2 linked regions of the Pelodiscus sinensis genome follow. The protein of the gene in region 1 interacts with the protein of each later gene in a pairwise test. Links are inferred from orthologs where the notes say so. Each region holds a gene or a part of one and is shown in the gene's direction. Other genes may lie near its edges. The genes, in order: NEFL and SKIL.

The links.
Region 2: the proteins of NEFL (region 1) and SKIL interact in binary tests that used the Homo sapiens proteins (3 or more experiments, as listed by UniProt). The link is inferred for Pelodiscus sinensis from reciprocal best matches to the Homo sapiens genes NEFL and SKIL.

Annotation. Positions count from the first base shown.
Region 1 is NC_134738.1:9,667,444-9,683,678, forward strand, and holds NEFL (neurofilament light polypeptide), read left to right. Parts: upstream 1-7,305; 5' UTR 7,306-7,568; coding exon 7,569-8,636; intron 8,637-11,297; coding exon 11,298-11,422; intron 11,423-12,440; coding exon 12,441-12,757; intron 12,758-14,014; coding exon 14,015-14,190; 3' UTR 14,191-14,567; downstream 14,568-16,235. UniProt on the Homo sapiens protein: Neurofilaments usually contain three intermediate filament proteins: NEFL, NEFM, and NEFH which are involved in the maintenance of neuronal caliber.
Region 2 is NC_134720.1:38,844,860-38,860,963, forward strand, and holds the start of SKIL (ski-like protein), read left to right. Parts: upstream 1-9,130; 5' UTR 9,131-9,272; intron 9,273-9,855; exon of another isoform or gene 9,856-9,921; intron 9,922-10,746; 5' UTR 10,747-11,511; coding exon 11,512-12,618; intron 12,619-16,104. UniProt on the Homo sapiens protein: May have regulatory role in cell division or differentiation in response to extracellular signals.

The DNA of each region.
Region 1 (16,235 bases):
GTCCCCCGCTCAACACCCTGCCCTGACACCTCCAAGGAGCCCTGCCTTCCGTCCAGTGGAGAGTGGCTGGCCCAGAAAGGAGCAGAGCCATTTCCATGAGCTTTTCACCATGAGCTTTTCACCATGGGCGGTGGCTGACCTCGTGGGTTGGGGGAGGCAAAACCCCCACCCTTGCCTCTTCTGCATAAAGCCTTGCCCCTGCCCACTGTGGCCACTGCTGGCCTCTGCCCAGCCTCACAATGGGGCTGTTATGTCCTGCTCCCTGCCCTAGGGTCGTGCCCCCAGACTGGGATATCCTGGCCGCGGCCTGTCCTGGCCCTAGAGCTCCAGAGGGCCAGCGAGCGGTACTGATGCAGCCTCTGCTGGTCCCAGGACTCCGGAGAGACGATGGGCAGCATGGCTGCAGCCTTGCCCAGACCCAGCGCTCCAGCGGGCAGTGTAGCCCCAGCCTCCCCTGGCCCCAGAGTGCTGGAGATAAGAGCCAGGAGGGACAGTCCCAGCCACCTCGTGCCGTGTCTGCTGGACTCCCAAGCAGAAAGCCCCCCCCACACGCTCTGGCACTGGGAGGAGGGGCGGTGTAGCCTGCCTGCCCCAGACTCAAGAGCAGGCTGGGGGAGGGAGTCTGAGGGACTCCGATGGAGCATAGGCAGGGCCAAGTGAGGCAGCTGGGGAAGGCAACGCCTCCCTCTGCCTATGATACCCGCCGCCCATGCTTTTCACCACCAGAGGGCTCACGGGCACAGCGGGTGTTCTCCGCTGGCTCTCTCAAGAACTGTGCTGCCCAAAGTGGCCATCACAAGCCAGAGAACCCGTTCGGTGCCTAAATCCCAGTGACTTCTACGAATGGGAAACGAGGCCTGCGGAAGGGGAATCTCCCGGCTGCAACATAAAATGCATCCGAGTGTGATGATGGCGAGGGGAAAGGCATCCCGATGGTCGAGCAGACACTGGATATATAACTGGATTCTATTGAGAGGCGGGTTTGCTGCCCACTCATGGCAGATGTTTCTTTCCAAGCAATCTCACTTGTTTTCGCCTAGGCAGAACTAGGAAGTGGCTGAGCAGCTGGTATCCCTTTGGCCCGAGAGTTATTTCCATAAAATTCAGAGCCAGGACTTTGGATTCTTTCCCTGGGAGTTTCATTTGCATGGAACTGGGAGACCCGTGATGAATGCATACAGCCGGGGTGCAGCCTCAGGTTTTTGCTGCAGCGGAGTCAAATGGAATCAATGCTAAACTGCTGGCTGACTCAGCATATCCTTATTGTTCAGGTTTCTTTCAAGTGAGCACTGACAAGGCAGACAGCTTTTCAGGAGAGGCAGCAGGAGCCCTTGCAAGCTAGCGGAGAGCCAATCCTCACTTCTCTGCCACTTTTAGGTTGCTTTGTTATTTATAGTAAAACATCAGGGTGTAGACCGGGGTGGGCAGTCATTTTTGACAGGGGAACACTCCAAACATTTGGAAAGTGGTTGAGGGCTGCACTCCTCCAGGATATTAATGGAGGGGGTGTGGGGGTCTGGGATGGAGGTTGGGTGCAGAAGGGAGTTTGGGATAAGGGAGGGAGCTTGCGTGAAAGAGGCAGTTGTGACCTGGGGCACTGGACTGGGGTGCAGGGGGTTGGATTGTGAGCTAGGGCAGGAGGGGACTGTGATCTGGGTCAGGGGATTAGGGTGCTGGATCTGGGAGGCAGTATGGGTACAGGAAGGGGGCAGAGGATTTGGGTATGTGGAGTAGGGGGGCAGGAGTAGGGGGTAGGAGGTTGAGGAAAGAGGGTGCCAGAGGCAGGGTCTGGCCAGGAGACTTACCAACCAGCAGCCTGTTCCTGAATCAGCCTCCCTAGCTGCCCTGCCTGACCTGACCCTGCACAGATGGCAGCCATGTGCTTCGTGAATAACTACCAGCCCCTTGTGCTTCGTGGCTGCCTGTTATTGAAACAGGCAGCTCCCACTGGCCAGTTTCTGGCCAGAAGCCGGCCAATGGGATTGTGCTGGTGGGTGGGAGCACCTCCTAAAGCTTCCCCCCATTCCCTCCTGGCTCAGTTTTTAAAGTGAAACTGCCCCGCAGCTGCATTTCTGAGCAGCGTGCAGGTTGGGCGAGGCAAACAGGGAGTCTGCCTGGGGCTCCCCGCAGCATCTGCAGGCCAGATACGGTGGCTTGGCAGGCCAGATCCAGCCCACAGGCCATATTTTGCTCAGGGATTTGTCTTGACTTGGGCAGGGGGCTGGACTTGATAACCTCCTGAGGTCTCTTCCAGCACTGGGATTCTATGATTCTAGACTCTGCTCTGGGAGAAAAAAACCGTAGGACAAAAAGGCAGAAAAAACAGCATGACCCTAATACGGAGTGGGCAGGTAATATGGCCGTGGTTCACCAGGGTTAGCCCCGGGTGGGCTGCCACTATATTTACCTGCATGTCTATAGATACCAGTGATTGCAGCTTGTAGCTCCCATTGGCTGAAGATTGCTGTTCCTGGCCAATGAGAATGGCAGGAAGTGGCATGGACTGGAACACTGCTCCCTGCAGCTCCCATTGGCCAGGAATGGTGATCTATGGCCAATGGGAGCTGCACTTGCCAGTACCTGTGGCCATGCAGGTAAATATAATGGTGGGGCCTGCCAGGAGTTAACCCTGGTGGACTGGATCCAGCCCGTGGGCCGGTATTTATCCATCTTTGCCCTAATATTTATGAGCTTCCAGGGGATGATGACTCCTTAAAGAGTGACTTTTGTTTGCTTTGTTCTTGTCCTGGCTAACAGTGTCCCCACTAAGCCACGCAGAAGCCCAGTGCTGCAGCTGGGATGCAGAGGTCTCGGTAGGGTCTGAGAGCTGGTCGACACAACACCTGACACCAGTTGTTGGGCTTTGTACACTTTTCATCTCCACCCGGGGACTCCTGAGGAGAGTGTTACATCCCCAGACTTGTAATCTACCATATATTTGAGAGAGTTTGTCAGTTTGTTTGTCTGTTTGTTCAAGAACTCCTCCTCAACGGTGAGAGCTAGGATCACCAAACTCAGTATCATCACTTAAAGCAACATAAGGATTTGGTTTGCCAGGAAAATGGAACGTGCCTGGAATGGGATTGCTTCTCATAAAGCCATGCAGAAAAAAGACAGAATCACCAAGCAGGTGAAAGGGGTTGGCTGGGGGTGTTTCCCACCCCATCTGGACCATCTTAGCCCTGAGCTTCCCTCCCTAGGCACTCTTCTGGGAAGGCTGGGGGGGGGGACCCCTTCCATTGGTATGGGGACATTGCTGACGGTTCCCCTTTGTCAGGGAGTGAGAGGAAAGTGCACTGCTTCCTGCATTCTCCACTTGCTGCATTCCCCACTCTGGCTGGGGAGCGCAGGGGCCGGACAATCTGTGCACTTTGCTCTTGTTCCCTGACAGGAAGGGGAAGAGCAAGCAGCCTTGGTACAAATCGCAGGGTGGGTGTTGTGAGGGTGGAGGGAGGAGAAATCCCTCCTACACACTGTGACGTAGTGGGGGGTACTTGCTGGGATGTGGTGACCCCTGCTGTCTGGAGCAAGACCCAGCAGGGAAAGCCTCACTAGGCAGAGGTAATGCCAAACTTGTTGAACCAGTGGCCAGACACCCCCCATGGAGAGGAACAAAGGAAGGTGGAATGCTGCCCTGGCTTGGGGGGCAGGGCTGGAAGAGGGTTTTTTAGTTCCTCGCTGGAAGGCAGGGTATAAGGAGCTGGGGAGGGGGCTGGGACTCCCCTATCTCAAAGGGGGGGCACTGAGGCCTCTTAGCCCCAGTTCCTGTAACCAGATTACATCTGTGCTGCGCTGTGCTGGAGGAGCAATAAACCACCCTCAATTCCACTGGCTGGTGCAGTCTGTTTGTGCCATTTCGGGGTGCAGGAGACGGGGAACCCCCAACGCGCCGTCACACACACACAACCCTACAGCCCTTTTCCCTGAGCCCCTCCTTAAGGACCCAAGCAACACCGGGTAAATGTGCTCTCCTATATAAGGACCAGTTATTGTTGTTATCACAAATCCTATTTCCCTCACATCTAAAACTCTGATATTATTAAAATAGTAAATAAAACAGTCATAAAAACTAGAGGGCCAGTTCTTCACATAGCACACAAGAAAATAAGAACATAAGAACAGTCAGACTGGGTCAGACCAAAGGTCCATCCAGCCCAGTATCCTGCCTGCCCACAGTGGCCAATGCCCCAGAGGGAGGGAACACAACAGGTAATCCTCATGTGATCCCTCCTCTGCCACCCATTTCCAGACAAATTAAGAACGGCTACGCTGTCACAACCAGAGCCGTCCTGTCCATGGGACAGCTGCTGCCCCAATGTTTTGGGGGACCCCATGGGGCCCAAAGAGGCTCCGACCATTAGTGGGGAGCCAGATCTTGCAAGCAGGGGTTGGGCTGGTTCACAACCTCAGTGGTGGAAGGATTGAAGGGAAGGGCTGGAACTGCCCCCCGCATTTACCAGCAGCAGGAAGCAGAGTAACGCAGCTAGGGGCTGGCAGAGCAAAGCAGGTTGGGTCTGGGTCCTTCCACTTTTCCACTCCGCTACCGGTGGGGTGTTTGTGTGTGGACCCACCCCCTCACTGGTCCTCACTTGGAGGAAGAGGGCTTGGAGGAAACAGGAATGTGGTCAAGAGTGAAGATCTGAGTCAGCCAGCAGTTTAGCATTTGTTCCATTTGCATTTCCCCCCAAATGTCTTTGCAGGCTGCACAACCCACTCATGCAGGAATCAGGGAGGTGCAGCCATTTTCATGGCATAGATTGGGGACTTAACAAAACCCCTGCATCCTGAATTAATTATTGTCATTGACATTGACTGTCCACTGCATGTGTTAGCTCTAGAGTTCACAGTCCTTAAGCTGCAGTGGAGTGACCACAATAATTTTCTCAGTGAAAAGTAAAATGTTGCAGGTACAGAGAGGCAAATGTAAAATATTTGCAGCTAGTATAAATTAGTATAATTCTGTTGTTATCAAAGGAACGACACTGATTTACACCAGGTGAGCAGCATGTTTACCATGAAGGACCTAGTTATCAGGCTGTAGTTTCTGTATCATTAACATAGTTCAATAGTTATAATTGCATATTGCATATTGCATATAATTGCATATTGCATACAAAGGAACTGCAGTTAAACACCTGTGGCTGTCCCGGTTCAGCTCTTGGGCATTTGAAGGGTGTGGATTGTGGGATTGTATAATTGCTGTGTAGACTTTGTAATATTTTAAATGTAAACACAGCCTCTGCGAACCAGTCCCCCCCAAGCTAATGGGAAAGAAATCCTGATCCATCTTTTCTAGAAGATAAAGGCATTCAGAAAACAGTATTTGCCTGTCTTCTGTGTGCCTAGATGCCACTACAACTGGTTGAGATATTTCACAGCTGTTATACCCATTATTTCTCTTCCTTTGTAAAGCAATTAAACAGTTTCAGTGTCTGCTGCTAATGAATGTGGACCAAATCCTGCAGTTTTATTTGGTTTTTACTCAGACAAAGCTTTTATTGAATAGCTAATTTTTTTGTCATTCTGATCCAGACACTATGATTGTGTTCAAGCAATTTGTGAAACTTGGACTGTTTGCTGCTTTTATTCTTTCCATCTCTTCATGTCTTACCCTTCCTGCAAAGTGATCAGGGCATAAAGGTGATTTTGTTTTCACTAACCAACAGTAAGTCCTTCAGAACAGCCTGGGGAAAAGTTTGAAATCCAAAGCAGCTGTCCAGTGGCTTTAATAGCCCTATGACATTCCTTTCAATCCGGTGCTACAAGTTGCCAGATTCATTTACCTATCTATGGCTCAAACAGGCTCACTCCATGCAAACTTTATGGGTCAAAAGCAGAAATATTCAGATAGATGGATAGCTTTACAGATATGTGTGTGTTGGTGTATTACATGGTGATAGGCAACAAGCTAACCCACTTTCCCCCCCCCCTGAATTCATATCACTGGTTGGTGTAAAAAAGGATGTAACAAATATTACAGAAGAGAAATGCTGGAAAGGAAAAGAAAGCTAGAGTTCAACAGCATGTCTGTTAGATGGATTATGATAAAACGCAAATTAAATTACAGAATACTGAATCAGATTCATATGCCAGGATTGTCAAAGGCAAATAAAAGAGTTAGGTACCTAATTGTCATTGTACTCCAAATGGGGTCGGGCAGGAGACTAATGGAGTCAGATGCCCAATCCATACTCAGGGTGTGTGTTTGTGTATAGACACTTTGTGCTAGCTGTATTCTCATTATATTACCAGGGTACCCTTGTGTTACTGCAGGGTCATAGGAGACTGACTACCTGGGAGGGAGGGGATATGCAAAGTGCTCTGATGGACTGGGAGGAAAGCAAAGGGCTGGGGGGAGGGGTACTGATGAGTGGTAAAGGGAAATGAGGGGGTGACATGGAAGTAGGTACTGGGCAGATTCAAGGAGCTGATGGGACGGATTGGGGTGAAAGGCCTTGGTGTAGCAGGAGCTGATGGGATGGTGGGTGACACAGGTAAACTGGGGGAGCGGGTCAGGGTGGAATGAGATTGGGTGGAAGAACTGAAGGGATGAGAGAAGGGTGGGGACGAGCTGTTGGGATGGGGGAGAAGGGAGTTGACTGAGTGGGGGTAGTTTGAAAGGAGTTCATGGAGATGGGGTCAAGGGGTAGTTGGGGCCAGGCTTGGGAGGGGGTGTGACAAGCTGTGGGCTGGTAGGAGACACAGGAGCTGCTGTAGGGGGATGGGCTTGACAGAGGTGATGGGGGCTGCTATGGGAGGGTGGGATGAAGGGGGAAAATGGGTGCTGCTGTGGGGGATGGGCATGAAAGGTAAGGTGGGAAGGAGGGGGCAGTATGAGCTGCAGAGGGTGGGTTGGGGGAATGGCAGCCGCTGTGCCTATGGAGCTGAAGGAGGGGTGGGGCGTGGAGACTGGGGCAGGCAATAGGAGCTGAAGGGGGTGCAGAGGGAGCTGAGGTGGGTGCTGGGGCCATGTGGGAGGGTGGGGATGAAGGGGCAGTAGCAGCTGCTGCGCGGGAATAGGGGGCAATGGGAGCTGCGGTGAAGGAAGGGGTGGGAGTTGCGGAGGGGACATGGGGATGGAGGGGAGGGCAACAGGAGTTGCTGGGGGCATTGAGAGCGGCTGAAGGGCTGGGCGATAGGAGTCGTGGTGGGTGCATGGGGGCTGGGGCGGGCGACAGGAGCTGCTGCGGGCGGGGGTGGGCGCTAGGCTGCGGGGGGAGTTGCCCTGGGAGGGGGCGGGGGGCGCTAGGCTGCGGGCGGTGGAGGTTGCTTTGGGAGGGGGCGCTGCGCTGCGGGAGAGGGCTGGGGGGGGGCGTTGCTGCGCTACGCTGCTCTGCGGGCAGGGGCTGCGCGCACGCGGCTGGAGGGAGTCGCTGCCGGCGGGCCGGCGCTGGGTGCAGCCGGGCGGGGAGGGAGGCGGCGCCCGGCCCTTCCCTTTGCGCAGCGCCCGGCCCGCTCTTGGCCTCTCCCCGCCGCTGCGTCAGCGGGCCGGGCTCCTCGCGCGGCTACAAAAGCGGCGGGCGGGCGGCGGGCGGGCGCAGAGCAGCGGCCTCTCCTCCCGCGGCGCCATGAGCTCCTTCGGCTACGACCCCTTCTTCCCCGCCTACAAGCGGCGCTACGCCGAGAGCCCCCGGCTGCACACGGCCACCACGGCGCGCAGCTCCAGCAGCGGCGGCGGCTACGGCCTGGCGCGCTCCAGCTACTCCAGCCTCTCCGCGCCCCTCTCCGCCGTGTCGGTGCGGCGCAGCTATGTCTCCTCGTCCGCCTCGGGCTCGCTGGGGCTGTCCTCGCTGGAGAGCATGGACCTGGGCCAGGTGGCGGCCATGAGCAACGACCTCAAGTCCATCCGCAGCCAGGAGAAGGCGCAGCTGCAGGACCTCAACGACCGCTTCGCCTGCTTCATCGAGCGGGTGCACGAGCTGGAGCAGCAGAACAAGGTGCTGGAGGCCGAGCTGCTGGTGCTGCGGCAGAAGCACGCGGAGCCCTCCCGCTTCCGCGCCCTCTACGAGCAGGAGATCCGCGAGCTGCGCCTGGCGGCCGAGGAGGCCAGCAGCGAGAAGCAGGCGCTGCAGAGCGAGCGGGAGAGCCTGGAGGAGACGCTGCGCGGGCTGCAGGCGCGCTACGAGGAGGAGATCCTGAGCCGGGAGGATGCCGAGGGCCGGCTGCTGGAGGCGCGCAAGGGGGCCGACGAGGCGGCGCTGGCGCGGGCCGAGCTGGAGAAGCGCATCGACAGCCTGCTGGACGAGCTGGCCTTCCTCAAGAAGGTGCACGAGGAGGAGCTGGCCGAGCTGCAGGCGCAGATCCAGTACGCGCACCTCTCGGTGGAGATGGACGTGTCGGCCAAGCCCGACCTCTCGGCCGCGCTGCGCGACATCCGGGCGCAGTACGAGAAGCTGGCGGCGCGCAACATGCAGAACGCCGAGGAGTGGTTCCGCAGCCGCTTCACCGTGCTCACCGAGAGCGCCGCCAAGAACACCGACGCCGTGCGCGCCGCCAAGGACGAGATCTCCGAGAGCCGCCGCCTGCTCAAGGCCAAGACGCTGGAGATCGAGGCCACCCGCGGCATGAACGAGGCGCTGGAGAGGCAGCTGCAGGAGCTGGAGGAAAAGCAGAACGCCGACATCGGCTCCCTGCAGGTGAGCGCCCCGGGAGTGGGCAGCAGGCGGGGTGGGTGAAGGGGAACCGTCTGACCCAGGTCACGGCGAGCGGCAGAGCCAGCAGGATATCCAGGCGGGCACCTCCTGGAATCGTCCCCAGAACCCGGCCAGGGAGCTGTCCAGCACTGGGCGGGGAGGGGGTCTGACCTACGCCCAGCCAGGGAGCTGTCCAGCACTGGGCGGGGAGGGGGTCTGACCTACGCCCAGCCAGGGAGCTGTCCAGCACTGGGCGGGGAGGGGGTCTGACCTACGCCCAGCCAGGGAGCTGTCCAGCACTGGGCGGGGAGGGGGTCTGACCTACGCCCAGCCAGGGAGCTGTCCAGCAGTGGGCGGGGAGGGGGTCTGACCTACGCCCAGCCAGGGAGCTGTCCAGCAGTGGGCGGGGAGGGGGTCTGACCGCCGCCCAGCCAGGGAGCTGTCCAGCACTGGGCGGGGAGGGGGTCTGACCTACGCCCAGCCAGGGAGCTGTCCAGCACTGGGCGGGGAGGGGGGTCTGACCTACGCCCAGCCAGGGAGCTGTCCAGCACTGGGCGGGGAGGGGGGTCTGACCTACGCCCAGCCAGGCAGCTGTCCAGCACTGGGCGGGGAGGGGGGGTCTGACCTACGCCCAGCCAGGGAGCTGTCCAGCACTGGGCGGGGAGGGGGTCTGACCTACGCCCAGCCAGGGAGCTGTCCAGCACTGGGTGGGAAGGGGGGTCTGACCTACGCCCAGCCAGGGAGCTGTTCTTCACGGCGGGATTCTTACCATGGCCCAGCCAGTACCCAGGCGGGCACCCCCAGGGATCGTGCCCAGCACCCCTACAGGGAGCTGTCCAGCACTGGGGGGAGGGGAGGGGAGGCGACTCTTACCGCCGCCTAGCCAGGGAGCTGTCCAGCATCTGCTTATGTAATGCGTACTGCAGTCCTACCTCTAGCCTGGGAGCTGTCCAGCACAGTGGGGTATTGCAGCCGCCTAGCCAGGGAGCTGTCCAGGTACGGTGCAGAACCCCCCAGAGCCTAAACCTGCTCCAAAGCCCAGTCAAGTCAGTGGACGCGCTGGAATGGTGTCCCACATGAGATTTGGATCAGTCTCTGCTCAGGGGACTGACCCAGCAGTCTTCTAGGCAGGTAAGTGCCTGCTTGCTTTGCAGGAAACCCCAGAATATCAGCAGCGCTTCTTTGCAAATAAATGCAAAATGTGTGAGGTCCTCAGCGTGAGGTCCTCAGCTCTATAGGAGAAAGTGACAAAAGATTTGCATTAAGTAGGATGCATATTAATTAAAAGAATTGTTGTAAAGGGTGAAGTTAAAATCCAGTGCCTAGCAGATAAGAACTCAGACACCCAATAAATAGTCACCACAGCAATAAAGGCTAGCAATTAAAAAGGTGCTATTGGTTATAATGAATACTTCGCAATGTTTATGACAAAACACAGTGAGCTGCATTTGTTCCAATGGTGCTTAATGCAGCACTAATTACATGACTACAATTAAAAAGTTATAATGCCTGGCATATTCATTTGACTGAATATCAGATTACAGTGATATTAACAGGATTAATATTCATTGGATTGTATTATTTATGAATTGTATATTGCTATTAATAAAATATGAATGAGCTGTATTAGTTCTAATGCATGTTAGGTGATTACATTTTAAAGGATTTAATTAATCCGTTAATGAAAAATGAATGAAATTAATTAAGAAGGTATGATAGAGAATACAAAAGGATGAAAGAATAAAAGATTAAGAAAAATACAAAAATTTCAGGAATAATTTAGCTCTTGAATCACTTATTACTGCATGTAAAATCTTATGGCTCTTACTCAAGCAAAATTCTTCATCAGCACCTGTCAGGATCCAGAATATTCTGATTATTATGTAGTCCTGGCTTCAGTGCTGAGGGCCAGAATGAAATTCCTACTGAGGATCCTTCCAATTTATGATTTAAGTTAACTGGTAGTTTTACTTTAGTATGTGATTCAAGAAGGCCATTCTCTCCTTTAGCAACCACTTCATTAGGAACTATCTAGTCTGATGTAGAAAAACATCTATTGCTTCCTTGATGGGAAAGGATGGAACTGGTGTAGATAAACATTTCTGCAGATGCAGGGAATGGGCTCCAAATCTAATGGACCATATCTTTAGCTGGTGTGAATCAATGTAGCAACCCCTGGGAACCCAGTAGATACCATCTAAGGATCTAGCCCATTGTGTTTATTGGCATAAAGTCCCATGAATTAAAGAAAAATGGCATTAGACTAAAATGTAAAATAATATTTATTGAAGTATTGTAGCTTCACGACATTACTTGCTTTATGATGTTGATGTTTAGCATTTCTCCTAAAAATGGTGGGGACTAAAATAAATGCTGGCAGCTGTTTGGGAGAAATAAGGGAAAATCAGAACCACTGCAGATGTCAAAACCATTAAATGAAATGGAGTCATAGATGTTAGACATGGGAAAACCCTACAAGGTAATGTGGCACTTAATGTAAATATTAACTTTATATTTGAGGGTAGATGTGGGGTCTATTAAACACATCCCATTGATGCAGCAGAATTTACATTAATAGGTTAGTAACATTGTTTCCAAGCCATCATTGCTGTGCACAAGGGGAACTAAGAATTTTATGTTGCTGAATATTCTCATTCCCAACAGGACACAATTAATAAATTAGAAAATGAACTGAGAACCACAAAGAGTGAGATGGCCCGTTATTTGAAAGAATATCAAGACCTTCTCAATGTGAAAATGGCTCTGGATATTGAAATTGCAGCATACAGGTATGATGGAAAAAGTGTTAAGTGAATCAGAAATTTTCTCTTGTAGCTGGAGAAATTCCGTTTTATTTTTCATCTCTCTCTCAATCTTTAAACCTTTTAGACAAATCTTTTGTGAGAATTATAGCTGCTGACTAGGTTAGTTATTGATAGACTAATGTGTCAGAGAGAGAAGAATTATTAGGTCATTTTCTCCACTCTTGTCACTGTAGTGGCAGCTTTCCTATAGAATTCTATTTTATTCTTCAGTGTTTCATTAACTACCCCCTTATCACTCTCACAGGAAAAAAAAAAGCCAACCAAAGATGATTTGAAGGCAAAACATTTGCTTCAATACGAAGTCTGAATTTAGTAGTATGCTTAGATTTGTTGAATACAAAAAAGCTTGTTAGAACTATCAAAGCCTATTTAAAACAATAAATACAAATGTTGGGATTATCAAAAGTGCCTAAGTGAGTTAGGTGCACAGATCCCACTAAAAATTACTTTTAAAAGGCTAACGCTAATGTTTGCGAAAAAGCTTACTGCGCTATCATTATTTTGTTTGACCCTCAGCATTGATGGAAACTGCAAACAGAAAGCTAAGATTATTGACTATTTGCAGCTGACTGTTGAGGCAGGAGAATATTTTTTTGTAATATAAAACTGCTTGGTATATTTATTAAATGTGGACTCCTAGGAACAAAAGAAGGTCAATTTGGTGGATGTTCCTTCTCTATGTAGCCCTGCAGAGTAACAGGACACAATTATCTTCCATTCTAGTTGTGGTGATGTTATTTTAATGCTGTTTTTCCTTCGTACCCTCTCAAAAAGATCTTTACCTCCAGTGATGCTCACCAGTGTATAATTGCCACTGGACAGTTGACTATTGTAGACTAAAAGTGTGGAAGATGGTAATTTCTTTCAGACAGGGACCATCTTTGTGTTCTGTGTTTGTACAGCCACTTGACCCACCCATGATTAGGGCTTTTAAGCAGGACTGGAGGACAAGCAATAATTAATTGTTTCTTTTTCCTCCTAGAAAACTATTGGAAGGGGAAGAGACACGGCTTAGCTTCACCGGTGTTGGAAGCATAACTAGCGGCTACACTCAAAGTGCCCCAGTCTTTGGCAGGTCTGCCTACAGCGGTTTACAGAGCAGCTCCTACTTGATGTCAGCCCGTTCCTTCCCTGCTTACTACTCCAGTCACGTCCAGGAAGAACAGATAGAAGTAGAGGAGACGATCGAGGCAGCAAAAATTGAAGTGGCCAAAGAAGCACCCCCTTCAGAAGGCGAGGAGGAGGAGGAGAAGCAGGAGGCTGAGGAAGAGGAGGGAGGAGAAGAAGCTGAGGAAGAAGGTACTTTTGATTTCTTTTGAATTCACCTCTACTTATGTGAGGCCTCAATCTGCAAATCTTTGTTAATAGAAACATGCCTAAGTCAAGCGCATAGACCCATTGGCTTAAATGGGGGCTAGTCACAGAAGTAAAGGGTTGCTGGGCTGACCCTGTGATGCATGTGTGGGAAAACCTAGGTATAATGTAAAGGCTGAGCTCAGATAAATATTGACTGTTCAACACATGATGGGGCCAATACAGCTTCCTTGGCAGTCAATGGGAGTTTTGCAGTTGGCTTTCAAAGGAAGAGCATCGGGATCATGATAATAGAAAGTGCTATTGGCAAATTCTCTAGCCAATAAATACCTAATTTAACATTTATACACATTCCTGAAAGCAACAGGAACATCTTGAACTAAATATGAATTCCCAGAGAATATCTTGAACCAGATCTGCAGCTGGCATAGATCACTACTATTGACACCAGCTGGGATTCTTGCCTGTTATTTTCACTGCCCTCCTTCCACCAAAGTACTTTTGTCCATTAATTGCTTTACTAAACGTGTACATCTTTAAAGAAACATTTCAAACCAATTATTCTCTAGAGCATCCTTCCCTAGTTCCTATTGCAATATTTTTATCCTGTCCTTGAACTTGAGAATCTTCATTCTCTTTTTGATGCTATAACCATTCTCAGGCAGCATACTCTAATATACTAAGCTATAGATGGTAAACTCTTAACTGGCTAAACAGCAGGAAAAAGAATTCAACAGGCGCATATTAATGATCCTGATTAATCCTTGAGGGAGGATTTCAGCCACACATCTGAAAGCAAATTTGTTTTTATGTAAATAGTTTTCTAAGATCCACTTAGTAGAAAAGTTCATCTGTAAGTTAATGGTGATTCACTAGACAATGAACTCAAGGGTTCATCCAAAGTTCACTGAAGTCAGTGAACGGATACCTTTTGACTTCAGTGGGCTTTGGGTTAGGGCTTAAAAAGAGTTGCCAATCAGTTGTTGTTATTGTTTAATGCAGGGGTTTCAAAGAAGCCTAGAGAAGCTAAGTACCCAAGACCCTTTGAAATGCAATATGATTTGGTGCCTAATTCCCTTAGTTCTTGAAAGACTTAGCCTAAATAAATACATCCTACATTCATATACATTTATGATGGCACCAAAGTTAATTTTTGCTCACACTAAAATCAGTAGAGGTGACCATAGCTCAGCAACTCTACATGCATGATGCGAAATGCTTATTGCTGCTCAATTTTTAAAGGTGCCAAGGAGGAATCTGAGGAAGCCAAAGAGGGTGAGGAGGAGGAAGGAGGAGAAGAGGAGGAAGCAGAAGAAGGAGAGGAATCCCAGGAGGTTGCTGAGGAAGCTGAAGATGGGGAGAAGAAAGAAGAGGCAGCAGGAAAGGAAGAGAAAAAAGAGGAGAAGAAGAAAGATTGATTTAGACTGCGTGTTGGTTTCCCAATCAGGTCACAAAACAACCCTCAAATCTATTGAGCTAAAAATGTCGCACCATGTATTTAATTCAGAGACAATTTAGGTTTCAAGTTCTCTGTTTTCCTCTATGCACAGTATCCGTATGCTTGCAGAGTGCCTATTGGCTTGCTTCCAGAGTATGCATGGTGTTTACTTATCGGTTCGGGAGTTATGTTCAATTTGGATGATTCAGAACCTTAAAATGAAAAATATTAAGTCACACGGGAGACAAAATATGTTTAAACTAAATTCAAAATAGTTATGGAAACCTTGAGTGGTTATAGTAATGAAGGCTTCAGTAAAGTATGTGCGATAAAGCTAGACAATAAAGAACTGCATACACAGTTTTCTCATAGTGTGTGTCGTATGTTACCAAATACATTTGAAAATGACTGATGAAATTCTATACATGCTTAGAGCCAGTCCTAATGCTCCAGTCCTATATAGGTGCACATGTAATATTGGCGACTATTCCATTTCAGCTGGTGCTTTTGGGGATGCAAACATTCACTTCTCATTCACAAATTCTTCATGTGGTTCTTGGAACATAATCTGTATCTGAACAGTCTAAATAGTGAAAGAAATAACTCAGAGAAGGTATAAGTCCCTCCCCTAAGCTGCAAAATGTAGCATATGGACAGAATAATAGGACCATAGAGAACTCCACTGAAGTAATGGTGATTCCATGCAGGCACAGCTGTCTGAGTATGGCTCTTAGTTGCATAATTTAAAGCCATAGTCACTACACTTCTGAAAAGATGTTTGCATTGCAGCTTGGGAACTGCATTGCACGGATAGCTACATCTACACTGCAGAGCTTATTTCAGGATACCGGAAGTATCCTGAAATAGCTATTCCGCATCTTTAAAGCAGCCTGTTATTTCAATAGATTTTGAAATAATGGGCGTGCTATTCTGGGGTCCCTGTAACTCTTGCTCCATGAGGGCTAAGGGACATTTCAGAATAGTGCTTTATTTCAAAATTTGGTGCTGTATAAGCTATTTCGAAATTACCTCAAAATAAGCTACGCAATTTGCATAGCAGTGTAGACACACCCACACTGGCATTAGAGAGAAAGGGGAATACATATATATGTTTATAAATATACATTAGCATATTTGAACACAAACACAATTCTCCGAGGGTGTCAGCTGGAATTCACTCAGATCCTTCATGCTTTACATGGAACGTGACTTCAGTGGGCCTTGGATTGGGTATGTAATAAAAATGGTCAAAGCTATACTGCAGTATGAGAAACTCAGGTAGGGGTGTGACAACATAAGAATGGCCGTACTGGGTCAGACCAATGGTCCATCTAGCCCAGTAGCCTGTCTGCCAACAGTGGCCAGCACCAGGTGCCCCAGAGAGGGTGGACTGAAGACAATGATCAAGCGATTTGTCTCGTGCCATCCATCTCCAGCCTCTGACAAACAGAGGCCAGGGACACCATTTCTATCCCCTGGCTAATAGCCTTTTATGGACCTAACCTCCATGAAATTATCTAGCTTCTCTTTAAACTCTGTTATAGTTCTAGCCTTCACAGCCTCCTCTGGCAAGGAGTTCCACAGGTTGACTACGCACTGTGTGAAAAAGAACTTTCTTTTGTGTGTGTTTTATTGTTTAAAACTAATATGTTTCTACCTACATGTGATCAGCTTTCCCATAAAGCTTTACCTAAGCTAGTTAGTCCCTTCCCCCCAGTAGTCTCCGTTTCTATGGCAAATCAGCCAATGCCTCTTAACTTCCAAAGGTCAGCCTAATACTGCATGAAACACGATCACAGAGAAAAGGCAAAAAACATGAGAGCAACCAGAAAGGCTAGGACAGAAGCAAAACAAAACAGCAACTCTCAAAACAAGATAAGAATCACATAAATTGTTCTGAGCGTATTTATTTTCAGTGTACGAATGAGGCAGCACTGAATGTATCAGGACACAGGATGATTCTTCTCCTATCTAGAAGCCAGCACAAGTCTTATGCAACATTTACATCCCACTTAGGTAAACTAC
Region 2 (16,104 bases), on another chromosome or scaffold:
TTTTTCTTCCTCCTCCTTATGATACTCTTTTAGATACTTGAAAGCTGCTCTCAGGTCCCTTTTTGGTCTTCTCTTTTCCAAGATAAACAAAGCCAATTTCTTCAGCCTTGTCTCATATCTCATGTTCTCTAGACCTTTCATCATGTGTTTTGATCTTCTCTGGACTTTTTCCAGTTTCTCCACATTTCCTGAAATGTGGCGCCTCGAATTGGACATGATACTCCAGCTGGGGCCTAATGTAAATGGCTCATTCCCTGCCTAGGAGACGTGAGACTGGGTGAGTTAATTTCCAATCCCCCTGTTTATTCTTTTCCTAAGGAGGGCACAGTAGTTCTGATGGGGCTTGGAGTAGGGATGGAAGCCAGATCTTCAAAGATATCTATCTGATCTTTACACACATTTGAAAATCTGGTCATAAGTGTCCTAGTCAGTTCTGAACGTGAGATGTAGGAGCCCAGTCCTAATTCCTTCAGCCTTTTTTTTTTTAAAATTTAAACATTTATCTACACTAATTCCCCTCCTTTCTCTTTAACTATCCAATAAATGCATGGATCAAAATTATAGGTGCTTTTTGAATATGCTGACTTGAGAATGGAAAGATTTCATATTGTCATGTATGATTCCTGGTAACCCATCTCAAAAATAAAAAAAACTAGGTTGATACCTGTTCATATTAGGAGCTGTTGAATTCAGTTTACCATTTGCAGTATCTCATTAGGATATTTAGTGGAGAAGATGTTTTTTTATTTTATTTATACTGTGGGCAAAGCATGGGCTCACAAGAATTCCTCCATTGTTTTACCATGAGTCTCAAAACATTTGGTGTTTTTCTAAAGGCCTGGAGTCAATTTATTAAGTAGGAATCTCAGCTTTCATTTAAAAAAAGTTCTCTATATTTCTGGGCCTTACAGCTAAGGAGGAAAGCTTTAAAACATGAACTCTAAATACTCAAGAAACAAAAGGCCAATAAAAATTCAACATGTTTTATTTTTAAAATATCTTATGATTTGTAGACCATTCTCATAACTTTGTATAGGTGTTCCTTGTGATTTTTTGGATTGGCAATACTGCTCTTTGGTGAATTTAGAGAGGTCTCTCCCTTCAGTTTCCCTTTCCACCCTCCTTTTTTGTCACAAGTCATCAGAGAATCATAGAGACAATGGAGAGTAGGGTGAGTCCATGACTAGGGTTAATGACTGGTGAGGGTGACTGACTATTATCAGCCAGTGGTCTGAATGAGCTATCTACTGCCATCTGTTAATCAACTGTAGGAAAAGGCTTCACGAGCAGACCTTATTTATATAGACATACCTACTTTGCCACAGAGATCAGTAGACACGCTTGGGCTACGTCTACACTGGCATGATTTTCTGGAAATGCTTTTAACAGAAAAGGTTTTCCGTTAAAAGTATTTCCAGAAAAGCGCGTCTAGATTGGTCCCGGAGTTATCGTTATAACGATGCGCTTTTGCGGAAAAGCACGTCTAGATTGGCGGCACGCTTTTTCGCAAAAGCAGAAGCCCGGAACCATTTTGAAGAGGGCAAAAGGCCACCAGACCTTTCTGGGGGTGGGGCCGGAGCTCCGTTCAGACACATGCTTAAAGGGGTCTCGCCGGACAGCCGTTTGTCTCGTGATCCCATGCGTTGGGACCTCTGGCAGGGACTGACACCCTTAGCAGGTTTGGTGGTTGCCCTCTGACTTTTGGGGACACCACCCTTTGGCCCCCAACTGCTTTTTCCTGTGTTTTCTTTCTTCTGCCCTGCTCTGTCTGCCATGGAGTCGTGGGTGGCCATGTGCCTGCTCGGGCCCCTGTTGGAGCTGTGCAAGTGCCTGCAGCTCGTGTTGCAGGCCGGTGCTCTTGTGTTCCAGAACCAGGAGGCAGAGATCGCGTTCAACTCACTCACCCAGGAGGCCCTGGTGGCCCTGTGGCATCAGCACCCCACCGTGGAGAGGCCAGTCTGGAGTTTGGACACCAGCACCGACTGGTGGGACCGGCTGGTCCTCGGACAATGGGACGACCAGCAATGGCTCCGGAATTTCCGCATGAGAAAGCAGACCTTCCTGCAGCTGTGCGCCTGGCTCACCCCCGCGCTACAGAGATCCACCACCCGGCTGAGGGCACCTATCCCCATTAACAAGAGGGTCGCCATCGCACTGTGGAAGCTGGCCACACCGGACAGCTACTGCTTGGTGGCACAGTAATTCGGGGTGGGAAGATCAACCGTCAGTGTGATCGTCGTGGAGGTAAGTCCCAGGGGTCGTGGGGTGGGGGGAGGGTGCAGCACTCCATGCCCAGGGGCAGCCAAGACTCCAGGGGTTTGGGCCGTCCCTCCCTTGCACAGGCCCGCTGGTGGGGGTGGGGGTGGGCCGTGGGGTGTGTGTGTGTGTGCGCACGTGCGTGAGGACAGAGGGAATCAAGGGGGGGGCTAAGGGAGCGCACACTCACCCCTGCCGTATGTCATGTGTTCCCTTGTGTTTCTCTGCACCCTTCTACAGGTTGTCCACGCCATCAACGACGTCCTGCTCCCAAGAGTCATCCGCCTGCGCGACATGGATGCTACCATGGCTGGCTTTGCTGCCCTTGGGTTCCCCAACTGTGGGGGAGCCCTGGACGCAACCCATATCCCCGTCCGGGCCCCAGAGCATCGAGCAGCCCATTTCATGAACCGGAAGGGCTACTGCTTCATTGTTCTGCAGGCTCTCGTGGTCCACCGGGGCCGCTTCCTGGACATCTACGGGGGCTGGTCTGGCTGGGCACACGACGCCCGCATCCTCCGCAACTCCGGACTCTTTCGCAGGTTGGAGGCGGGCACCTACTTCCCCCGGTGGGACTTGAATGTCGGGGATGTGCCTATGCCCATCTGCGTCATCGGGGATGCAGCCTACCCCCTGCTGCCCTGGCTAATGCGGCCCTACACGGGGCGGCTGGACCAGAACTGGGCACGGTTCAATGACCGCCTCAACCGGGCCCGAAATCCGGTGGAGCTCACCCTCGGACGTTTGAAAGCCCACTTCTGTTGTTTGCTCACCTGTCTCGAGATGGTTGAGCAGAATGCAACAGAGATACTGGCTGTGTGCTGCGTGCTCCACAACATTGTGGAGCGCTGTGGGGAGGCATTCCTCCCTGCATGGATGGCAGCCGAGGCACAGACGTTCGCACAGCCCCACACAGCTGCCGTCCACCAGGTGCGCCAGGATGGGGTGCGCATCAGAGAGGCCCTGGTGGACATGTTCGCCCAAGCCCCGTAGTAGGGTCACCTGGGTCTCCCCAGACGACTCCCTCCCATCCCATACTCTTCTCCACCCCCTCCCCTTATCTCCCCCCAATTGTAAAGCGTTGGTTCCAAGCACATCGGCCGTCATCGTGATTGTTCGTCGGGTGCGTCGGACGTAGTTAGGGTTTTTCTTTTTAGTTTAGGCTAGGGTTTAGGCCACCATTGCCTGTCCCGAAGAACAGGGAAGAGGATTCAGGGTTCGTGCGGAAGGCTCAAGTCAGCGTACCTGATTCCAGTCATCTTTGAGGGATCTCCTGGCTGTTCCTCTCCCAAGGCCCGGAAGGACCAAAGGATTGAGTTTGCCAGCAACACTACCAATCATCCTCCCTGCGCCTAGACTATGTTTACATAATCTTTAGTGTGCGTCTTTTAACCTTTCTTGCTTGTTTGTTATCTGTGTTAAATATAGTTTGTGGTTTAAATTTTACTGAAAAGTCTCAGTATTTATTTATGAACCACAAACCAATGGCCACTTAAAAAGGACCCCCGGTGACAGAATACAGAATTTGGTGTCCACAGTTTGTAACCCTTTTAAATTTAGGTGGCTAATTGGCATCTCAAAGCATTTCTTACAGTTACCTCGAGTAACACAATAACCACACAAGAATCAACTGAAAAATAGACTTTTTATTTACAAGGGGGAGGGGGAGGAGACCTTCAACTGGGACGGGGAGGGGGAGGAGCTACTGGGACGGGTGGCCCCTGCGAGCGTTCCTTCGGGGGCAGACCTGCACATGCGGGGCAGGCCGCACAGGGAGGTGGGCAGGAGCAGGGGCAGGAGCTGGGATAGGAGCAGGGGCCATTGCAGGGGCAGGAGGGGGCATGGGGTACAGCCATGCTATAATGTACGGCGTGCACAAAGTGTGTAGTGAGGATGGCCATGTAGTCGGCCATCCTTGTACACTGTGCCTGGAAGGCACCCCAGGCCGCCTGCCGCCACTGCAGGTCCCCCTGCACACGCTCGCGAATGGAGGCCTGGATTGCCTCCACCGCTACAATGTGGCGGCGAAGCAGCTGGTCCTGGTGTCGGAGCCAGCGCCTCCGGGGTTGGCCAGCTGGGGGTGCCTCTGCTGCTGGACTGGAGGGTCTTGTGTTCGGTCCCGCTGTAGGGAAGAGAAGAAAGGATGGGTCAGTCAGGCAGGCCCTCCACCCCCCCCACACCTCATGCCCTCCACCCCTGAGCCCAGGTGACCCCACAGTTGTGTGGCTTGGGCCCACTTGGTTCCCCTCCTGCCCCCTGTGTTGTATGTTTGCAAGGAGGACCGCCCCTGGAGTAGGGCCCTCCTCCAGTATTGTAACCACCGGTCTGTGTCCTGGCCCCGTGGAGGGCGGGAGGGTGCTTGTGTTGCGTTCACCTGTGGAACTCCCTGCTGGTGGAGACTGAAGCTTTGGGCTAATCACTGGTGTTTGACAGGGAGCGAGATGCATCCCCACACAGTGCCTGGGAGCACATCTGGCAGAGGTGGTCTGGGCTCTCAGATCCCATCGTGTGGGATATCTCCTGGGCGGAACCAGAAGAGTGACTGGGGAAAGGGGGTGTCCCATCCTTGCAGCAAAACTCAGGGCGGGCCTTCTCCCTCCCACTATCCCTCCCACAACCCCGGTAGCCCAGGGACATGTGTAGCCACAGTGGGGACTTCCCTCGGGGAGTCAGCCAAGGCACCGGGAGCAAGTGAGGGGCTCGGTGGGGGCCACGCTCACAGGACTGTGATGCTGCGGTGTACCCAAGAGCAGCTGGCTGTGCCTCACAGCCAGGCATGGGACAGTGTGCAGTTCTCTGTGCTGCACCCTTGGCGGAGGTGAGGGCTCTGGGCTGAGTCCCTGGGGCCTTGGCTGATTCCAGCTGGCATCCACCCTTTCCCCTGGTCTCGCCGAATGTGTGTGAGCAGCACAGTCCTAGGCGTGCCCTGCAGCTGCCTGCTGCGGCCACGTGCTGCTTGGTCACCAGGCTGCATGTGGTTGCACGTGCTGCTTGCTGCCTAATGCTACACAGCATGCAACTCACGTGGCCTGAGTGGCATGCTCTCCCCCTCCCCACTCCAGGTGCCTGGCTCTCGCCCCCCCCCCCCCCCCCCCCGCCCTCCGCCCTCCGCCCTTGTGAGTGCAAACTGCAAAGACTCACCAGTGGATCCTTCCCCGGAGGAGGAGCTGCTGGAGGGGGCCTGCTGGATGGCAACGCTGGCCTCCTCTCCTGAAGCGCCACCACTGTTCTCTCCTTCCCCTGCCTCAGTGTTTCGGATGACGGGGGGGGGGGCGCTGGCAGGTGTCCACGGGCACGTCCGGGCCTTGCAGGGCTGGCTGCCCAAGGATGGCATGCAGCCAGTCGTAATGGGGGCAGGTGTCTGGTCCTGCCCCCCTGCCCTTGCTGGCCCGCACGTACCCCAGCTGGAGCTCCTTAACTTTTGCCTGGATTCGCTCGCTGTTCCGGGCAGGGTATCCCTGTTGGGTCAGAGCCTCGGCCATCCGGACAAAGATGTCGACATTCCGGCGCCAGGACCGGATGTCATGGAGACCATCCTCCTCCTGCCAGAGGTCCAGGAGGATCTCCAGCTCCCTGGGGGTCCAGAGGGAGCCCGCCTTTTGCGGCCTCTGGGGGCCTCCTGAGCTGGGAGTGCAGGGGGCTCACCACCAGGAGCTGCCATGGCTGGCTTGTGAGGCTTGGCTGGGCAGGACAGGGGCGCTGTGGCAGAGCTCAGTGGCAGGCCTGAGGCCCGCTTCTGCCACGTGCGCTCAGCAGCCTGCGACTGCTTTAAGAGCTTGGGTTACCAGGAAGTCCAGGGCTCCTACGGGGTCTCCAGGCGTCCAAACCGCTTTTTTCCGTTTCTTCTGTTTTTTCGGAAAAGCGGTAGCTAGCTGTCTACACTGGCCCTTTTCCGGAACAGTTTTCCGGAAAAAGGACTTTTGCCCGAACGGGAGCGGCAAAGCTTTTCTGGAAAAGCGGCTGATTTCTTACAGTAGATCGTCATTGCTTTTCCAGAAAATCAAGCAGCCAGTGTAGACAGCTGGCAAGTTTTTCCAGAAAAGCGGCTGATTTTCCGGAAAAACTTGCCAGTGTAGACACAGTCCACCTGTGTCAAGGTGATCAATTCTGGCTCTTTTGGGTTGAAATTCACTTAAGACTTGGAGCTGGGAGAATGAAATGTTGTTATCCATATTGTATGATTAAAAGATTAAAGACCTGAACTTAATATGACCTGGCTTAGGGTCTACCATAACTTGAACACTAAGCAGAGGATAGTGAGTCACATCTAACTGAAAGTCACAAAAGATGGAAACAGGTTTTATTTCTGGTGGTGTAGAGTCTATTTGGGTTTGGACTTGATGACCTCCTGAGGTCTCTTCCAACCCTATGATTCTTTGATTCTATGACCTAGTTTTCACCGTTTGTGGGATTCTTTTATTGAGTTTCAGTTAACTGAATATCTTCTGGTTAAGCCAAGACAGTCTCTTTCTGTACTTCCTATCTTTCCTATAATTTGTTCGTGTGCCCCTAACAATATCTCTTTGAAAAACTACCAACTGACTTCAACTTTTTTCCCCTGTTAAACTTGCTTCCCAATGGATCTTACCTACCAATCCCTGATTTTGCTATAAGTCTGCTTTCTTGAAATCCATTTTCTTTATGGTGATGTTTTCCCTTTTATCATTCCTTATAATCATGAATGCTATCATTTCATGATTGCTTTCACCCAAGTTGCCTTCCACTTTAAAATTCTCTATAAATACTTCATTATTTGTGAAAATCAAATCTAGAACGTCTCCCTTTGTGGCTTTCTCCACTTTGTGTAATAATAATTGTCTCCAATACAGTCCAAGAATTTGGTTGGATAATCTATGCTCTCCTGTGTTATTTTCCCAATAGATGTCTACGTAGTTAAAGTCCACCATCACCACCAAGTCCTGTGCTTTGTATCATTTTGTTAGTTGTTTATAAAAATCCTCATCCACCTCCTCTTCCTCTTTTGGTTGTTTGTACAGGTTGAACCTCTGAAATCCTGTGCTTTCTGGTCTGGTAGGACATGGATATTGTTGGACCAAACAGCGCATCTGGGAGCAAAGGCAGCCAGGGTCAGGAGCAAAGCCCTGACCAGCGGCAGCAGGTTTGGTGGTCAGGAGCCCTTGCCAGGCGGGTCGCTGGGAGCACAGCCCAGGCTGGTGCAGTGGTGAGCTAGCAGCGGGGTTGGGACAGCTGGCAGTGGGGCTGTTGGAGTGAGGAATGCAGCCCCAGCTGGGGCTGGTGGCAGGGGGCTGGCAGGGTGGGAAGTGTGTTGTCTCTTCTCTCCTTTACCCCAGCTATAACACCCCCAGATTCCAACCCTTCACCCAGGTCTCCATCTTTGTCTCAAAATGGAGGAAAGGGGGTTTTGCATTGTACATGTTTGGGAAGGAGGGCAGTCTTTTTGGTGGAGGGCCCTGGAAGGGTATCAGAGAGGTCGCCATGAGCAGTGGAGAGGGAGATGGGCTTTGTTTAGGAGTTCAAGGGAAGTTTGCTGGGTGGGGAGCAGAGGTGAAAGTAAGGCGGTGTACCTCAGTGCTCTGCTCCAGAAAAAGCTGTCTGGGCTGCTGGACTGGAGGGTGCATGTCCAGCTGGGTTCCCCTGGCTCTCCTTTAGATTGCTATAGTAAGCAGCAGGAAACCAGAAAACCCTCCCTTTCTGCACCCTTTAGGGACAGGGCAGGGGCTTTGTTCTACTTCCCTCACTCTCAGGGTATGTCTATACAGCATGGCTAATGTCGACTTAAGCTATGTAACTTCAGCTACGTCAACTGTGTAGTTTAAGTCAAAATAGCTTAACTCAACTTTAGGCGCTGTCTCCATAGCAGGAAGTTGAAGGAATAACACTCTTTCTTCAACTTCCCTTACTCCTCCTAAAATGAGGGTTACAGGAGTTGGAGTAAGAAGTTCTCAGCTTGACATTATTGTGAAATAAAGGTTTGTAGTGCAGACGTGCTCTTTGTTATTTTGGAATGCTACCGTATAGACGATTCCCAGGAAGCAAGTATCCAGCTGCATTCCTGTCCCTCCTGGCTGGGGAGGAGAAGGAGGCAAAGGAGTGAGTGACACATGCTGTGTGCTTTCCCCTCCCTTAAAGGAACAGCAAGGAGCAGTGTGGATAGGAATGGGGTGGGCCTCACACCCCCTCACCTCCTGCCCTCTCTAAAGGATACTGTCATATTGCACCCCTGCCCTGATCTCCCCCCCCGGGGGGCAATAAAAGAGTACCTCTAAAAATGTAAGTTACTTTCACCCCTGGAGGGGGAGAGTCACTATGGTGAAGCAGGAATCAGCTTTGTGTGACACAATGGGGGCCTTTGTACAGACTGACTCTGGAGGCCAACACAAGGAGGAAGGGACACACTGGCCCCTGCGTGTGGATGCAGGGCTGGCTGAGAAGCGGGATAGCTTTGAGGTGGGTCTCAGAGCTTCTCTGTGGGAAGAGGGGGTCAGTGGGGCAGGGCTTGCTGTGGAAAAGGGGGCTCGTTGGGAGTTGTAAGGCAAGACGCAGCTGGTGTAATGTGGAGAGCCGCTGTGGGGGATGGTCTATGTGGAAGGCACCTGGCTGGGGCTCTCCTGGCGTTAGGGAGCATGGGGCAAAGATGGGGTCGCTATGGGATCGTGGGGGGGGGGGGGAAGCTGCATAGGGGTGGGGGCCCCTGGGGTCAATGACCGAAGGGGGGGCTGAAGGAGCAGGTCATGTGTAGACCCGCTTCCGTGCCTGGCTCTGTCCGGGCGGGGGGGGGGGGGGAGGCGCCGTGTGGGGAGGAAGGCGAGGTTCCGCCCCCGACGCGACACCAGCTTTCGCTGTGCCTGGGGGGAGGGGAAGCCGCTGGCAGCCGCCGCGGCGCTACCCCAGACAGTGGGCGGGGCTGGAGGCGGGGGCGCGCACCCGCCGGGTTGGTGCCCGCGCGCCGCCGTCTCCGCAGTGAGGTCACGGGTGGGCGGTGCGTGCGCGGCTTCTGTTCCACTGTTGGGGTGTCGGGGTCCCCACGATGCAGGGTGAGGAGCCGGGGCCTGCTGCCGGCGGGGCGGTGCAGCGGGGGGTACGGAGAGCGTGCGCGGCGGCGAGGGGGAGGGGAGGCTATTCATGAGAGGGGTAGGAGTGTCTGTGGGGGGAAGGGGACAAATCCAGGGAGGAGACGGGGGGGGGGGGGGCTGATTGTCTGCGGGGGCAGAGTGTCTGTGCGGGGGGAGGGGTTAGTCCAGAGGCGTCTGTGTGGGAGGGAGCAGTATTCCCCAGCTGGGGGACTGTCTGTGGGGGATGGAGCTTAGTGGAAGGGGGGGGCGTTGTGGGGGAGGGTGACCCCACAAGCGGGGGGGGGGTAATGTGGGGAGTCTCTGAAGGAAGGGAATTGTTTCCGGTCGGGAGGCGCGTGGGCTGTGTGTGTCCCCTGGGGTGATGTGAAGAGCTGGGTGGTAGGGTGTGTGGGGGAGGGGGAGCCTGGGGGGGGGGGGGGTAGGGAGCGTGTATGTGTGTGTGGATTGGTCCGAGGAGAAGTTGTGTTGCGGGTCGGTGCCAGGGAGCAGTGGGAACCGGGGGCTACGCGAGAATTGGCGGGGTGTGGGTGGGGGGGGGGGTGGAAGAGTCAGTGGTAGGTTTGAATGAGGGATCACTTCAGTATTTGGAGTGTCTGTGGAAGGAGGAAGGGTAAGTCCTGTATGTGGCGGAGTCCTGTCCGATCAGAGCGTGCGTAATGCTTGAGTGTGACTGAGGTGGAGGTGAGTCACGGGGGGGGGGGGCATAGTCTGGGTGGAGTGTGAGAGAGACAGGATGGTGGTGAATGTCGGGGTTATTCCAGGGAGGGCCGCTGTGTGAGGAAAGCACGGGAGAGGGAGGACCTTAGTTTCAGGGAGAATATAACGAGTGAGCTTTGGAAGAATACATGCGTATAGACTGAGGTTGGCTCAGAGATAGCAGTAGGGGTGTTGCCTAGTGTCTGGTTTGGGAAAGAGTCTAGGTTGTTTTCAGTTTTAATTACCTGTATGTTGAATTTATTTGAACTGCACTAACTGTAAAAAGTGTGAAGATTGAAGTTAGGAGAAATACTTTAATTTCAGTTATATATTCAAGGAAATGGGGGCTAGTTTGTCCCCTTATCCTTTTCTTGCCCTGCAATCTCTGAAAGTACAACCCCCCACACACTTTTTTTCCTGGATTCTGTCCCTGGAGTTTGCAAAGCATTGAATGGGGTGAAGGATTAGGTGATTTCCCCCATGTGTCTCCTTTGCCACATGTTTGCAGCACTCTCAATGAGTTATGTTGATGCTGCTGGTGCCAGGTTTATGCATGTGTCATAATAGGGTTTATGATATCTAAATCCAAGCTTTCTGCAAATTAGTTAAGAGTTAGTTATTTAGGGAGCATATTCCAGTTGTGATATATTGAATACATTTCAAGATTCAGGGACTGTTTTAGATAAAGGTATTACTCTTCACATGTGAATGATTACTGATTTTTTTCCTTTTTTTACAGGTTATATAAAAGGATTGCCAGAGATTTGTATTATTAGTCCAAACTATGAATCTCGTATATGGCCTGGATCTTATTTTCATTGCCAATAAGTTGAGATAGGAAAACTGACAGATGCTAGGGAAATTTTTACTGATGCTTATTCTACAGGGATGTTTGGTTTCTACCAGCAACCCTGGATCAGCCTTTAATTTGTGGACTTAACAGAGATTTACCATAATACATTTCTCCACCACTGGAGGTGTGATTTAAACTTGGCTGCACAATAAATAAAGTGACTAAGCTCTGTGTTCGATCCTGTGAGTTGAAAGGGATGTGCTGCATAAAGCATGCCCACAACTAAAATTATCTTTTGGAAGAATTGCATTAACGCCAGTGCTGCTCAGTCTGAGAACAAGTGATTTTGTATTTTAATACTTAAATGGAAGCATATATGAAGTGAAAAGTCAGCATGTTTTTTAAAAGAAAAATTTGATGAAAATCAGATTTTTTTTTTAATATAAGAACTGAACACATATATTTAAGTGCAAAAGAAAACTCTTGCTTAACCCTTCCACCCTTGAATTTTATGCTACATGAAAAATAGGTTACATTTTTAGCTCTTGAGGTGAGATTAAATCCTCACTTTAAGGAGATAGCACAATATCTGCTGGACAGGAGATAATTAAAGTACTTGGAAATTGGCGTGTCTTTAAGAAATACAAATTAAACACATACTAGAAAAATGCACATTTCAAACCTATTTATTTAAAATTCTGAGGTTCAGTGATGGAAAGTCCACAAACAAATTTCCCTGTAAGTGCAGGTTCTGACCAAAAAGAGTGTGGGATCCAAGAAGATGGCAGTCCACCAGTAAAAAAAATAATGACAGAAAAGCATGTAAATAGCAAAGTACAAGCTGTAGTAAATAAATTGCCAACGATAAAAAAGGAAAATGTGGATGAATATGAAGAAACTCCCATGGAGTCTGATGGAGAAAATGCCAAACCAAACAGTACTACAATATCTGAGCCTTTGAATTTAAATCCTGGTTTGAAACACACATTGGCACAGTTCCATTTAAGCAGCCAGAGTTCACTGGGTGGGCCAGCAGCTTTTTCAGCTCGTTATTCCCAGGAAAGCATGTCACCCACTGTCTTTGTGCCTCTTCCATCACCACAGATACTTCCTAGCCCATTGCTCATTCCTTCAGACAGTTCTACAGAGCTCACTCAGACTGTATTGGAGGGAGAATCTATTTCTTGTTTTAAAGTTGGAGGGGAAAAGAGACTCTGTCTGCCTCAAGTATTGAATTCAGTGCTCCGAGATTTTTCACTACAGCAAATTAATACAGTGTGTGATGAACTGTATATATACTGCTCGAGGTGCACTTCTGACCAGCTTCATATCCTAAAGGTTTTGGGAATCCTTCCATTTAATGCCCCATCCTGTGGGTTGATCACACTGACTGATGCTCAAAGACTATGCAATGCTTTACTGCGTCCTCGCACTTTTCCTCAAAATGGCACTCTGCTTCCTGCAAAAAACACATTGGTCCAACTGAAAGAGACTGGCAGAGCCTTTGAGGTAGAGCATGAGTGCTTGGGCAAGTGCCAGGGTTTGTTTGCACCTCAATTTTACATTCAGCCGGATGCTCCATGTATTCAGTGTTTGGAGTGCTATGGAATGTTTTCACCCCAGACATTTGTGATGCATTCACATAGATCTCCTGACAAGAGGACCTGCCACTGGGGCTTTGAATCAGCCAAATGGCATTGTTATCTTCATGTTAACCAAAAATATTTAGGCACTTCAGAAGAGAGAGAACTGAAGCATCTTTTGGAGGAAATGAAGGAGAAGTTTAGCATGAAAAATCAGAAAAGAACACAATCCAAAGTAAGTTTGACTATTGAAAAATTTCTGAATCAAAAATGAAATTTATTTTAAAAGTATTCAGTTTTATCAATGTGAACAGGTATTAAGCTAAGCATAAGCTGAGTCTACTATAAAGCTTCAACACATAATACAAAGCAATAATGAAAATTCCTTTCTTGTTTGGGGTTTTTATGGTGGTACAAAACTTGCAAAAAAAAATTTTAGACTAAAAAACTAGGTTCCTTTTTTCTTTAAACTGGCAAAAACCAGGGACTTTAGTATCCTTATGGAAATACTGTCCTCTCATTTGATCTGCCACTTTTGTGTGATATTATATGTAGTGTATGTTGCCATGTGTAAGCAAAGCAGGAAGGAGCCTAAGAATGGAGCTTCAGCTTTAATTCTGTATTGGTCAGTTAAAGCAAGTTTAACTATATCCATGGCGAATATCCAATTAGCTTGCCAAGCACCCAATAGCATGCCATAGTCTTTCAATTAAGGTAATGGTGCATTGATAAGATATTATTTAAAAATGGAAAGTTTTGGTAATGTTTGGGTTTTTTTATTGCATTGATTATATATAATATAGATATGCCATAAGAGGTTCTTTAAGCAAGCTAAGAATTCTTTGTTGACATCTTGCGATACTGTTGGGATGGCATATTTTTATTACAAAAAAGTAGTGCTCTAAGTCTATGGCTACATCTACACTGGCATGATTTTCCGGAAATGCTTTTAATGGAAAAGTTTTCCGTTAAAAGCATTTTCGGAAAAACGCGTCTAGATTGGAAGGATGCTTTTCCGCAAAAGCACTTTTTCCGGAAAAGCATCCGTGGCCCTGATCGTCATTTTCACAATTAGGGCTTTTTTGCGGAAAACACTACTGTGCTGTCTACACTGGCCCTTTTCCGGAACAGTTTTCTGGAAAAAGACTTTTGCCCGAACAGGAGCAGCATAGTTTTTCCAGAAAAGCACGGATGATTTTACATTAGATCGTCAGTGCTTTTCCGGAAATTCAAGCGGCCAGTGTAGACAGCTGGCAAGTTTTTCCAGAAAAGCGGCTGATTTTCCAGAATAACTTGCCAGTGTAGACACAGCGTATATGATGCTTCATAAAAATGGTAGTTTGTGCCATAAAGAGCTTATAATCTGAATAATAAGACACATATTAGCCAAATATTAAACAGCTGTAGGGAAGGAATTATTAGTGCTTGAAGAAGCGGGTTACAAGAGAGTTAGAGAAGTGAGGGCAAGTGATTGGTACCTGAACCAGAGTCAGTATGTTTGTGTGGAAGTATTAATTTCTCTGTAGGGAGAGTTTAATCTTTGAGGTTTGTGAATGCTTCCCTTTTCCTGTTGCTACCTTGTGTTCTTTGAAGCATTTACCAGTCCACTTGCAAGCTACAGACCTGATCACACACCCATTACAGTGGATGCAAGTTTTGCCATCAGTTTCAGTGGGAGCAGCAGCTAGCTATGAATATCACAGGTAGTTGTCACCCTTAGAATCAAGTCCTGGGAAGCATCAGTGCAGGGACCTAGGGGCTGTCCACTTTACAACAGTGGTGTGATAGTTATTATTTGGCCCAATAGAGATTTTTGACATTTTAGCAATCCTGAAGCATATATAATTAACCAACTTTACACTGGTGTTCTTAGTATAATTGGTGGTGTGCTTGCTCCTAGAACGATTAACTACAATATTGCTCTATCATTTCTGTGCTACACACTTGTATAGCAGCTCCAAAAGTACAAATATTATTTCTGTGCAATCCCTCTGTGCTTTCTACCCCTCCATGACCATTTTAAAGCCTAAAGCTCTGACTCTGTCAATCTGGTTAAATGCAGACCCCCAAAATAACAAGGATGATGTTCAGGTGGTCTCTGCTCTGTCCAGTCCATGAAACCCTCCAGCCCAGAGCAAGTCTAAGAGCAGTAGAGGCAATATTTAGTTTGTCTTGTTTTTTCCATGTTTGCATTTGCAGAAACTTGCCCCTCAATAGAGGACATGGAATAGATTGATAAATACAATTTTATAACTTTGCACTGGCCCACTTCAATTTTTTGCTGCTAAAGGGAAACAAAAGATAATGAAACAGTGCACCTGCAGAACAGGAAAACAACATAAACTCAAGTTAAAAAAAATTAGTGAAAAAAGAATTCAAAGTAATGAAATCAAACTCCTTCAGACCCAGAGCTGCCTCACCTTTCTTCTGAACATTTCACTCTCCAGATTCACTCCTCTCACAGTACAAGTAATCTTTGATCTCATTTATCTTTAAAAAAAAATTAAAAAAAACAAACCACCTTATCCTCAACTGTTTCACCAAAATTATTTCCCTTTTTGCCCTTCAACTCCAAGTTAACTGAGCTGTCTGTCTACAGCTGATGTATTGACTCTCATTCAGCTCAGTTCTTGATTCTTAACAATACAGCAGTGGTCTCCAACCTTTTAAAGCACAAGATCACTTTTTGAATTTCAGTACAGTACGAGATCTACCTCAAACCCAAATACTGTTGCCCCATCTCCTTTGTGCGCCTTCTCAGAGGCTCCAGCCCTGCTTAATCCATCCTCCCTCTCCTATCCTCCCTCACTTTCACCAGGCTGGGGAAGAGGGTCAGGGTCAGACTTTGGTTTTGGATTAAGTGATTTGGAGTGTGAGAGAGGCTCTGAGCTGAGCTTGGGGAAGGCAGTTGGAGTACCGGAGGGGGTTCTAGGTTTAATCTCTGGGAGAGTGTTTGGATGCAGGAGAACTCGGGATTAAAACAGGAGCTTGGGATGTAGGAGGGCGGTTCATGACTGGAGTAGGGTTTCAGGATGCGGGCTCCAGCTGGGCACTGCTTACCTCAGGTGGTTCCTGGGTGGTTGTGCAGTGGGGCTAAAGCAGACTAACCCCTGCCCTGGCTTTTCTCATTCCCAAAACCAGCCAGCAAACTCCTTCCATCCAAAATCCTGTTGTGCCCCCTCTGTGCTCTGGTGAGAGAGGATACAGAGTGAGAGGGGGACACCCTGACATCAGCACCCCTCTTTTGCCTCCCCTGCCATATTAAGAAATCAGGAGGCTCTTAAGACTCAATACAGTTTCCACATTCTTCATTCCATTGAAACTGCACTCATAAAGTCTCTAATGATCTCTGTAAAGGCATGTATACACTACAAATGCTACAGTAGTGCAGCTGCTGTACAGCAGGTATGATGCTATAGCATATATACTTGCTACACTGATGGAAAGGGTAAATAGCAGAGTCCTTCAAAATATATATATTGGGACCAAGCATAAATGATGTGGAAAAGGAAAGTGGCAAAATTTGCAGGTGATACAAAATTATTCAAGATCAGTAAGTCAGAAGCAGACTGAAGAATTACAAAGAAATCTCATTAAACTGGGTGGCAAAATGGTGGAAGAAATTCAGTGTTGATAAATGCAAAGTAATGCACATTGCAAAAAATAATCCTAGCTATACATACAAAATGTTGAGTTCTAAATTAGCTGTTACCACTCATTA